Anolis sagrei: one gene and its partner. The protein of the gene in region 2 purifies or fractionates together with the protein of the main gene of each other region. This does not show direct contact. Links are inferred from orthologs where the notes say so. Each region holds a gene or a part of one and is shown on either strand. Other genes may lie near its edges. The genes, in order: TOP1 and SUPT16H.

Evidence for each region.
Region 1: the proteins of SUPT16H (region 2) and TOP1 fractionate together in Homo sapiens (co-fractionation; 3 studies listed by BioGRID and IntAct, with this or other methods). This does not show direct contact. The link is inferred for Anolis sagrei from reciprocal best matches to the Homo sapiens genes SUPT16H and TOP1.

What each region holds. Positions count from the first base shown.
Region 1 is NC_090024.1:216,028,019-216,034,334, reverse strand, and holds the start of TOP1 (DNA topoisomerase 1), read right to left. Parts: upstream 3,605-6,316; 5' UTR 3,451-3,604; coding exon 3,418-3,450; intron 1,578-3,417; coding exon 1,553-1,577; intron 1-1,552. UniProt on the Homo sapiens protein: Releases the supercoiling and torsional tension of DNA introduced during the DNA replication and transcription by transiently cleaving and rejoining one strand of the DNA duplex.
Region 2 is NC_090026.1:11,052,905-11,059,220, forward strand, and holds the start of SUPT16H (FACT complex subunit SPT16), read left to right. Parts: upstream 1-2,609; 5' UTR 2,610-2,679; coding exon 2,680-2,745; intron 2,746-6,316. UniProt on the Homo sapiens protein: Component of the FACT complex, a general chromatin factor that acts to reorganize nucleosomes. The FACT complex is involved in multiple processes that require DNA as a template such as mRNA elongation, DNA replication and DNA repair.

The DNA of each region.
Region 1 (6,316 bases), on a different chromosome or scaffold from region 2:
TTTCACTAAGGTACCAGACATGTGTTAAGATGAGAGAACCAGCAAAATTCAGTGTCTGAATATAAAGACTCCAGAGAAAGGCATGTTCGATAAACGTTTATACAGTCAGAAGATTACAAGAAGAAACACTGAAATCCATGAGATCTTAGACACATTTTAAGTATAAAGTTAGCACTGAACTGTCCCCTGGAGTACAACACACAGACATTCATATCCTTGAATATATATCAGTCAGCAAATGATATCCTTAATAAGAGTGGCAAAAAATCTCCCTATTTACATTCAAGCAACTCTTTGAAATTCAGCTGGTGATTGAGAAAGTTCTATACATTGCTTTTTAAAAAATACTAAAAGGTTTAAATCCAAATTATCTACCAGAAATATTCAGAAAAATAAATATTTCAATGTATATATATAAATATATATATAGAGAGAGAATATCTGTATTGCATTTTACATATGTTTCTGATAACTTTTGTGTATTAATAAATAAGTATTAAAATTAAAACAGAACACGTTGCACAGATCATGAAAACGTTTTATGAAAGTGAGCATAAAAACACTTTAAAGTCAATATATAATTCTTTTTAAGTGGAGGAAGCAATTTTGACATTTCACAGATATGTTATTTCAAATGTACTTGTCTCTCCTCTAGACCTTATTCCCTATAATCAAAGGAAAGCGAAATCTTCCTATTAAACAGGGGGGTTTTTTGGAGGGGGGGGCGCTGATAACAGACTGGTATCCCCTCTCCTTTTGCTTTTGTACATGAATTGCATACAACTGCCCAACTTTAGCAAAGTGATGCTGGCTACTATTCTGGAACTGCCCACCATTCTACCTTTCTCTTTCAGAATACAATAATTAGAGCCCCACCCAGCCAGTTCTGCATCTTGGTCTTAAATATGTTATAAATTGAAAGAGATGAAGCATTTGTTCAAGAGCAACATGTTGCAACCACGTCTGGTTTATAGGGGGATGGGGGACTGAAAGAAACACAACTGGAGGAGGGAAGAAGATAGGAATAAAGAGGTAGGCTACTAAATCAAGGCTTTTTAAAAGCAAAAAAAGAACAAAAACCCCACAGGATCCCCCCACCCGCATCCAGAAAGGGTGATTTAGAACACGGAGGTGGTTATTTCGCATGTTTTCACTGCAGGAGGCTCCTTGCGGGCAGCTCGAGGGAGGAGGAGAAGGAGAAAGAGACACACAGGGAAGAGAGAGAAAAAGAAAATGGCGCAGAGACTAAGTCCCGACCGTCGACAAGGCGACTTTCCAGGGGGGAATCCGGGCCCAAGAAAGGCTCAAAAACACCCGGGGAGGCCAGAATCGGGGTCTCCACAGCCCTCTCTCCCGGGAAATGGGGTCGGATGGGCAAGGGGCTTTAAGATTGGGGAGTATCAGGAAGCCCGATGGGAACAATGGGGCCGGTGAGCGAGGAGACGGGACTTAGTCTCTGGGACGCCATGTCTGTCCTTTGCCATCCTCAGCAAGCACAGAACGAGGGAGAAAGGAGGCAGGGGAGGGGAAGCAAGGCAAGGCCGGCACTCACCGTTTGCTCGGAAATCTGGATCGATCTGGGGGGAAGGAGGAAGGGGGCGAAGATTAGATTTATTTTTTAAGGAATCTTAAGAACTATTTCACCCTTGAGAACAAAAAAAAAATGCCTTTAAAAGAAACACCAGTCAAGGTGAGGGGGAGAAATGAATGCCCTAAATACTCTAAAAATATATAAACTACACAAATTAAAGACATATATACATACAGGGCAAATTCATTTACATGTATATATCCATTCTTCCCAACCATAAGAATTATTTCACTTCAAAAAATGCATTGATAAAACACCAGTCAAGGTGAGGGGAGAAATGAATGCCCTAAATACTCTAAAGATATATAAACTGGACAAATTCAGGATTATATACACACACAAAGGGCAAATTCATTAACATGTACATTTATGTATCCACATATATTAATATACCCCTTCCTCCCAGCTCTAAGAATTAATATATTGATAACACACCAATGTATTGATAAAACACCAGTCAAGGTGATGGGAGAAATGAATGCCCTGTATATATAAACTGGACAAATTCAGGATAATAATATATATAAACACATACATACAGGGCAAATTAATTAACATGTATTTTTACATGCCCACACATATTAATATATCCCTTCCTCCCAACTCTGAGAATTATTTCACATGGCAAAAACTGTACTAATGTATTGATAAAACTCCAATGTATTGATAAAACACCAAGCTGATGTGAGAAATGAATGCCCTGAATATATACACTGGACAAATTCAGGATGATAATATATATAAACGCATGCATACAGGGCAAATTAATTAACATGTATTTTTTATATACCCACATATATTAATATATCCCTTCCTCCCAGCTCTAAAAAATATTTCACATGGCCAAAAATGTACTAATATATTGATAAAATACCAATGTATTGATTTCACATCAGTCAAGGTGAGGGGGGGGGGAATTAATGCCCATTTATAGGGCATGTATATTTATGTATCCACATATATTAATATATCCCTTCCTCCCAGCTCTTAAGAATTATTTCACATACCAAAAAATGTACTAATTAAACACCAGTCAAGGTGAGGGGGGAGAAATGAATGTCCTTAAATATATTTATTAATATATCCCTTCCTTCCAGCTCTAAGAATTATTTCACATACCAAAAAAGTACTAATTAAACACCAGTCAAGGTGAGGGGGAGAAATGAGTGTCCTTAAATATATTGGTATGTTTCAAATTCAAATAATTGACACCCATACATATATATCCCCCCCCCTCTTTTTTCCCCACCTGGCTTCCTCGTGTTTGTTTCTGTGTTTCCCCAGCTCTCCTTTAAATGTATTTTAATGTTTTGAAGGATGTCCTTAAAAGGTGATTGAATCAAGAAGGGAGATCTTGGAGAGAGTGGGAAGTCTGAGACAAAATGGGGACGACTCCACAGGCACAATGCAGGCCATGTCTGGGTTTAGATGTGGCCTGGGCAAATTCCAGCCCTCCAGGTGTTTTGGACTCCAACTCCCACAATTCCTAACAGCCTACCGGCTGTTAAGAATTGTGGGAGTTGGAGTCCAAAACACCTGGAGGGCTGGAATTTGCCCAGGCCTGAAGGAGAGAAAAAGAGAGGCCTAAAAGCCTCTTTTAGAGTGTTGCACACTTCCCAGGAGGAAGACAATGGCTCTCCTCTTTCAGGCAAGCCTCACTTTTCCCTAGGCTGTGAGGGAACTCGCCCAGCTAGGCCTTATTCCGAATGAGGGCCTAGCTTGGATGGGGAAAGCCCCCCCTCTTCGCCCTTCCCCCTCATGGGCGAAGGTAGGCCGGAGCGTCGGTTAGCTTCTCTCAGAGCTATAGAGGAAGGCCTCGTCCTCACCTGGGAGTCGTTGTGCAGCTGATCCCCACTCATTGCCTACGACGAGGCTACGTGCCGGGCGGGGAGGCGAGAGGGGAAGCCTGGCGAGACGCCTGCGGAGGAAAGCCTCGAGGCCGAAGAGAGAACGCGGCCCCTTCGCTACGGAGCAGCTACTTGTGTAACAGACTAAGTCCCGATTTCCTCCCACTGCGCAGGCGCGGCGGCTTTTAAACCGCAGGGCGGGGCTAAGAACGGACGCCACCTTACGGAAAAAACGGGCGCCTTCTTTGCATAAACCCGGCCTACTTGCCTTCTCCCCTCCAATCCGGAGCCGCGAGGGGTTATATTTACATACAAGCCACGCCCCCTGATAGAACTAGCCTTGTGCCCCTTCGGCCACGCCTCTTCCTTCTCGGCCATTTAGGAAAATGCCGGGTGCACTGCTTTTCTTTCTTTCTCTCTATTTACATATCCGGTCACGCCCCTTCCGGGGCATCCAATGAGCGAGCAAGACGAGGGATCGCTATATTTGCATACAGGGAGTACGCTGGAGCGAGGTACCCGCAGCACATTGTGCAAGAGACAGCATGGGCGTAGTGCGCATGCGCTTTCTCGCCCACTGTTTCTCCCCTACTTATAGAAACTCTTCCCAACGCTTGCGACACTTCTGAAGAATTGCCATCAGGTACATGAAGTACCGGCGCCATGTGCTGGAGGAGCCGCTTGTCATGTGCTTCAGCCCTGCTTGCAAATCCCTATCAAGGGCAGCAACTCTGGGAAGACTTTAAACACGATGTCTTTTTGCACTGCTCCAGGCAGAGTATCCCTCTGAAAGTCTTGAGACCAGAGGTGCGTCTGTATTGTAGAATTAATGCAGTTTGACCCCACTGCCATGTCTCAAGGCTATGGGATTCTGGGATTTGTAGTTTAGCAAGGTCTGTAGCCGCCTCTCCCAAATAGTGCTGGTGCCTCACCAAACTACAACTCCCATGATTCCAAAGCAGTGAGTCATAGCCATTCAGGCAGTGTCAAACTGTATTAATTATGCAATGCAGATGCACTCCTGGACTCAAGCTTTTCAGAAAAGGATAATAATAATAATAATAATAATAATAATAATAATAATAATCTATATAAATAAAAAATGTAATGTTCTGGGTTGTAGGTAGGATGCTTGCCATAGATGCAGGCGAAACGTCAGGAGAGAATGAGATAAAAATGAAAGAGAAATATTTCTGGGAGAAGCTCGTAGGAGACGGAGTAGTGGAAACAGGCCTTCACACCGGCAGAAGGAAGTACAATATGAGGATGACATTATGGGCGGAGCAACAAAAAGAGGTATATGGTCACTCTCCAAAGGCGCAACAGAAAAGCCAAGTTTTGAGATCTTTCTTGAAGGCTGCTAAGGTGGGGGCTTGCCTAATCTCACCAGGCAGTGAGTTCCAGATCCGGGGGGCCACAGCGGAAAAGGCTCTCTCTCTCATTTCCACAAGTCGAACCTGTGATGGAGGAAGGGGTGAAAGGAGGACCTCCCCCGAGGATACTCAGCCCAAAGTAGTGTTTTGGATTTTGGAATATCTGTATTTCTGTATGTGTACACCATAATCATCACCTTGAAGATGGAATTTATTTGTATTTTCATAGACACCTCAGCCACCCATATGGGCAATTTTGGAGTATTTTGGAATTCTGGATTAAGGATGCTTACACTGAACTTCCTGACTGTGAGGGCCATTCAGCAGTGGAACTCTCTGCCCCAGAGTGTGGTGGAGACTCCTTATTTGGAAGCTTTTAAACAGAGGATGGAAGGCCATCTGTCAGGGATGCTTTGAATGCAATTTTCCTGCTTCTTGGCAGGGGGTTGGACTGGATGGCCCATGAGGTCTCTTCCAACTCTATGGTTCTATTTTATCTCAGTTACCTCTGCTGTGAGAGAATCAGCCGTCTACAAAGACCTTGATGTCTTGCAATCCTGTAGGGAGGTTTGTCTCATGTCCCCCCTAAAACAGTGGATGTGTCTCTTAATGAGACATGCCACATTATCACAGGGTGTCTGCACCCACAGGGTGTCTGCACCCTACACTACTGGAGAAACTACGCTGTTTAGCCGGTATTGCACCACTGGGAAGTAGCAGTTAATTATGAAAGGACCAAGACAGTGACATCTCCAGCCCATCCCCTGTTCGGATATCAGCCAGCACACTAATGACTTAAATCAAGAAACAATTTTCTAAGATTGACAGAGACATTCACTGGAACAACTCAGCAAGCAAGAGTCCAAAAGTGGCAGCTAAAACCCAAAACCTCAATCCATGGCCCCTTCTGGGCACACAGAAAACTTGGGGGACTTGGAAGGTGTTGAGCATAAGATGCAGAGCCAACCCTTATGAATTGTGGCTACAAAGTGGAGTCCACAACATGTGAGTGTGGAGAAGAGCAAACCACAGACCACCTATTACAATGCAGCCTGAGCCCTGCTACATGCTCAATGGACCTTCTTATAGCAACACCAGAGGCACTCCAATTGGCCAGCTACAGGTCAAAGGACATTTAACAGAATGCCAAGTTTTCAAATTTACAATACAATACAACAGTACCCTTGGTTTGCTCTTGATATGATAAATACATTTTATCTCTGAAAAAGAGAGATGAAAGTGTGCTGATTCTCTCTGTATGAGAAATCAATGTAATTTCATGGCATTGTGGAGAATAACATCTAATTGACAGAAATAACAGTAACATATTAAGCGGAGAAAGAAACAAAGATGCCAATGAGAAGCTCTGCTTTCTATTCAGTTTTCACATATAGTTACAGTTAAAAGGTAAAGGTTTCCCCTGACATTTAGTCTAATCATGTCCAACCCTAATCCTTCCAACTCTGGGTGGTGGTGCTTATCTCCATTTCTAAGCCAAAGCGCAG
Region 2 (6,316 bases):
GCAGATGCAGACTGTGGCCAGGAAATCAGAAGACGCTTACTTCTTGGGAGGAGAGCAATGTCCAGTCTCGATAAAATAGTAAAGAGTAGAGACATCAGACTGGCAACAAAGATCCGCCTAGTCCAAGCCATGGTATTCCCTGTAGTAACCTACGGATGTGAGAGCTGGACCTTAGGGAAGGCTGAGCGAAGGAAGATCGATGCTTTTGAGCTGTGGTGCTGGAGGAAAGTGCTGAGAGTGCCTTGGACTGCGAGAAGATCCAACCAGTCCATCCTCCAGGAAATAAAGCCCGGCTGCTCACTGGAAGGAAGGATACTAGAGACAAAGTTGAAGTACTTTGGCCACATCATGAGGAGACAGCAAAGCCTAGAGAAGACAATTATGCTGGGGAAAGTGGAAGGCAAAAGGAAGAGGGGCCGACCTAGGGCAAGATGGATGGATGGCATCCTTGAAGTGACTGGACTGACCTTGAAGGAGCTGGGGGTGGTGACGGCCGACAGGGAGCTCTGGCGTGGGCTGGTCCACGAGGTCACGAAGAGTCGGAGACGACTGAACGAATGAACAACAACAACAAAGCCAGATTTTGTTCATTTTCATGGTTTCTTCGTTTCTGATAAAATTGTCCACATGCTTTAGCCTTTTAACTCTCTGTAAATGACAGGAGGACATCATGGGTGGCCTTTCCATAGCACGCATGCGCAGTCGGCTTTAAGAGGGAGGCGAGTGAAATAGTCACGTGCCCATCTGGCGGGAAGGGGAAAAATAGAGCGGGGGGGGAGGTCGAAGGAGTGACGCATGCGCAGTTACCGCTTTCAAAAAATAAGGGAGTAAGGAACAAAATAAAGGTGGTTATAAGGTTTATTATTATTATTCAGCAGTAATAACACATATTGCATAAACATTATTTTAAAATATCTACGACGTTTGTTAACTATTCTCCCAAATTCGTCTCAGTTGAAGAATTTTAGTCTCAATTTAAGAATTTTATTATTTATTTTTAATAATATTAATATTTTAATAATATAAAAATTATTTTATTTTTTTTAAAAATATTAAAATATTTTTAATAGGGAGAGGGATAATTAAGCAAGAGAAAATGGAAAAAATCGTCTCATTTTAATAATTTTATTATTCATTTTTAATAATATTAATATTTTAATAATATTAAAATTATTTTATTTTTTAAAACATATTAAACGTCTTTAATAGGGAGAGGGATAATTAAGCAACAGGAAATGGAAAAAAGTTATCTCATTTTAAGAATTTTATCATTTATTTTTAATAATATTAATATTTTAATAATATAAAAATATTTTAATTTATATATATATATATATATATATAATTTTTTAATAGGGAGAGGGATAATTAAGCAACAGGAAATGGAAAAAGTCCTCTCATTTTAAGAATTTTATTTATTTTTAATAATATTAATATTTTATAATATAAAAATATGAAATGGAAAAAGTCGTCTAATTTTATTAATATTATTTTTTATTTTTAATAATATTAATATTTTAAAAATATAAAGATATTTTAATTTTAATATATATATATTAAATATTTTTAATAGGAAGAGGGATAATTAAACAACAGGAAATGGAAAAAAGTCTCATTTTAAGAATTTATTATTTATTTTTAATAATATTAATATTTTAATTATATATATATATAGATATATATATATAATTATCCCTCTCCCTATTTTTCCAGAAAATGGAAAAAGTTGTCTCATTTTAAGAATTTTATTATTTATTTTTATAATATTAATTAAAATTATTAATTAAAATTATTTTAATATTTTAAAAAGTGTATATTTAAATATTTTTAATAGGGAGAGGGATAATTAAACAACGGGAAATGGAAAAAGTCGTCTCATTTTAAGAATTTTATTATCTATTTTTAATAATATTAATATTTTAAGAATATTAAAATTATTTTATTTTTTTAAATAAATATTTTTAATATTTAATATTTTTTAATAGGGAGAGGGATAATTAAACAACAAAACTGGAAAAAAAGTCGTCTCATTTTAAGAATTTTATTATTTATTTTAATAATATTAATTAAAATTATTAATTAAAATTATTTTAATTTTTTTTAAAAAAATATTTATTTGTTTTAATAGGGAGAGGGATAATTAAAGAACAGGAAATGGAAAAAGTCGCGAGAAAGTGACGTAGCCAAGTGGAGGGGGAGGGAGGAGATACGGTTGGTGGAGGGAGACTTTCACTTCCGAGGTTTTGGCAGCGTGAGAGGAAAAGAGAGAGAAAAAACGAACGGACGGTCGGATTAACCAATCAAGAAGCGTGGTGTCGGCTGGAGGCGGGACTTGTGAAACGGATGGATGGACGAAACAACCAATTAAGAAATGAGCTGGCTCCTGAGGGTTGGGCTTGAGAACGAACGGACTCACAAACCAACCAATAAAAATGGGGGTAGGAGGCGGGGCTTGCGTAAGGCGGGACTCAGAGCCCTATCAAATCGAGGAGGAAGGAGGCGGGCGTTGTTTAACAGACGGAGAAGTCGACCAATGAAGTGGAAAAGGATGGCGGAGAGGTGTGAACGGACTAGCGATCCAACCAATCAAGGGCGGAGGCGGGGTTTGCGGCGGCGCAGCGACGGAGGCAGCTGAGGAGGGGAGGAGTCGCCGCCGCTGCCGCTTCTGCCGCCGCTTCCATGGCGCTGAGTCTGGACCGCGAGGCCTACTACCGTCGCATCAAGCGGCTCTACAGCAACTGGCAGGTGAGGGCTCCGAGGGCGAGGAGAGAGGCCTAGCTACCTTCCAGGCCTGGGCCTTTCCTCACTTCCTCCCTCCACCTCGTGTCGCCACTTCAGAATGCTTCTCCCCTGGAAAGCATTCAGCCAGCCCTCCATGTTAGCTGGGGTTGAGGGCAAGTCACCAAACCTACTACCTAAGTAACGAAATTGCTAAGTAACTAAGTAACGAAATCGCCAAGTAACTAAGTAACGAAATCGTCTGGGTTTTCTTGACCTGAGATAACTGTTTAAGGGATGGGGGAGGGGTTGTTGGAGGATTTTGGAATATTTGTTTCCGCACAACAAGATTATTATTATTATTATTATTATTATTATTAACTAGCCGTCCCCTGCCACAGGTTGCTGTGATTGTAGGTGAACTATAAATCCCAGCAACTACAACTCCCAAATTTCAAGATTCTATTTCCCCCAAACTCCACCAGTGTTCACATTTGGGCATATTGAGTATTCGTGTAGAGTTTGGTCCAGATCCATCATTGTTTGAGTCCTCAGTGATCTCTGGATGTAAGTGAACTACAACTCCAAAACCAAAGGACACTGCCCACCAAACCCTTCCAGTATTGGTCATGGGAGAACTGTGTGCCAGGTTTGGTTCAATACCATCGTTGCTGGGGTTCAGAATGCTCTTTGATTGTAGGTGAACTATAAATCCCAGCAACTACAACTCCTAAATGACAAAATCATTTTTTTGAGTGAAGGACATACATTGGGTTGTTAGGTGTCTTGTGTCCAAATTTGATATAAATTCGTCCAGTGGTTTTTGAGTTATGTTAATCCCACAAACGAACATTACATTTTTATTTATACAGATAGATATACTAGTCGTCCCCTGCCAAGCGTTGCTGTGGCCCAGTCTGCTTATATGTGTTTTGTGTGTGTATATATTTGTGTATACATGTTTGCGTGTGTGTGTGTGTATATATATATATAGTTTTACGCATGCACTGTAATGTAATTTTTGGGGAGTTTTTTTGCTTTTCAAGTTTCTTCTGCAGTGTTTTTCTGTGTTTTTATGAGTGATGGTCAATCATTGCCCTGAAAGGTGTGTTGTGTCCAAATTTGGAATCAATTCGTCTAGTGGTTTTTGAGTTATGTTAATCCCACAAACGAACATTACATTTTTATTTATTTAGACTAGCCGTCCCCTGCCATGCGTTGCTGTGGCCCAGTCTGGTGATCTGGAAAATAAAGTAATGCGAAAGTGTTGGTTTCTAATATATGTAATTTTTTGATGCTGGTGGGTAAACAGTACTTCTTGTTGTTTCTTTGTCAGTGTTGATGTAGAGATTGTGTGGTTTGCCTACTCTGGAACATGCAACATATAATTGTCCTTCTTTAGGGGCGCCTTTCAAATTTATTATATCTGTCCTAACATATTTGTGTGTGTGAATCATATATAATCTATATCTATAGCTGGATGGCTCTTTGTCAGGAGGGCTTTGATTATGTTTTCTTGACCTGGTGAAGGGAGTTGGACCGAATGGCCTTAAGGCAACATTTTTCAATCTGGGGGTTGGGAGGGGGTGTCAGAAGGGTCACAAAAGAACACCAGAAAATATCGTATTTTCTGTTGGTCATGGGGGTTCTGTTTGGGAAGTTTGGCCCAATTCTGTTGTTGGTGGGGTTTGATTGTAGGGAAACTATAAATCCCAGTAACTACAACTCCCTAATGTCAAGGTCTACTTCCCCCAAATTCCATCTGTGTTCATATTCGGGCATATGTAGTATTCGTGCCAAATTTGGTCCAGATCCATCATTGTTTGGGTCCACAGTGCTCTCTGGATGTGGGTGAACTACAACTCCCAAACTCAAGGTCAATGCCCACCAAACCCTTCCAGAATTTTCTGTTGGTCAAGGGAGTCCTGTGTGCCAAGTTTGGTTCGATTCCATTGTTGGTTGGGTTCAGAATGCCCCTTGTTTGTAGGTGAACTATAAATCTCAGCAACTACAACTCCCAAATGACAAAATCATTTTTTTGAATGATGGTCACTCATTGGCCTGATGGGTGTCTTGTGTCCAAATTTGGTGTCAATTCATCCAGTGGTTTTTGAGTTATGATAATCCCACAAACGAACATTACATTTGTATTTATATAGATATAGACTACCTGTACCTGCCACACGTTGCTGTGGCCAACCTTCCCTCCCTCTTTCCTTTCTTCCTTCTCCTCCTCTTCCCTTCCTTCCCCCCATTTTTCTTTCCCTTTTCTTACTCTCCTTTCTCCCTTCTCTACCTATTTTTGGACTGCAACTCCCAGCTGTCCCCCTGATCGATCTATTTACCTATCTATCTAATCTATCTATCTTATCTATCTGGAGGATTGCTGGGAGTTGCAGTCAAGGAAAAGGAAATTGGAAATACGCAGGGATTGAGATGCTCTCAAAGAAATCCAAAGAGAAGAAAGCTTGAAAGCAGTGCATTTGGATCATCCTCCTCTCCTAAAGGGCCTGGTCTAGGGGATGATGGGAGCTGTAGTCTGGAAGAGAACGTGAATATGCTATTGTGTGTTTTGTTTGCCAGGGAGAGTTGTTTTTGTACATGCGCTGTAGTGTCTTTTTGCTTTTTTGGCTTTTAAGTCCCTTCTGCTGTGTTTTTCAGTATTTTTATGAGTGGTGGTCATTCGTTGCCCTGAAAGGTATATTGTGTCCAAATTTGGTATCAATTCGCCCAGAGGTTTTTGTGTTATGTTAATCCCACAAATGAACATTATATTTTTATTTAAATAGATTATTTACTGCATTTTTTACCCTGCTCAATCTCTACCCCATAGAGCGGCTTCCAATTTGGCAATGATTCAGTGCCACATGGCAACATAAAATCAAATAAATATACAACACATTGATCGTTGAAATTATAATAAACCATATAAATAAATACATTTAAATAACTAATTAAAACCATAGTATCTAAACCTGCAGTAATGGTCCAATCTGATTTGTTTGTCTTAACTTCATTTTTGAATATTGCATTGTGGGTGTTCCATAGTTGAGGGGCGACCACTGAGAAGGCCCTGTCTCTCATCCCCACCAGTCGTGCTGGGGAAGGGGGAGGCTTCGAGAGTAGGGCCTCCCCAGAAGATTTTAGCATCCAGGCTAGTTCATAGGGGGAGATACATTCTGACAGATAAGCTGGGCTGGAAACGTTTAGGACTTTAAAGGCTAGAGCCACCACTATGAATTGTTCTCCATAGCAGACCGGCAGCCAGTGGAGCTGGCATAACAAAGGTTGATTGTTCCCTGTGTGGTGCTCCTTTTAGCAATCTGGCTGTCACCCATTGGGCCACTCAAAACTTCCAAACAGTCTTCAAAGGCAGCCCCACGTGGAATGCATTGCAGTAGTCTATTCTAGATGTAACAAGAGCTTGTACCACTGTGGCCAAGTCTAGCTTCTCAAGGTATGGGCGCAGCTGCCGCACAAGTTTTAATTGTGCAAAAGCTCCCCCGGCTACCGTCAAGACCTTGGGTTCCAGGATCAGTGATGAATCCAGGAGAACTCCCAAGCTGCGAACCTGTGATTTCAGGGGGCGTGTAACCCT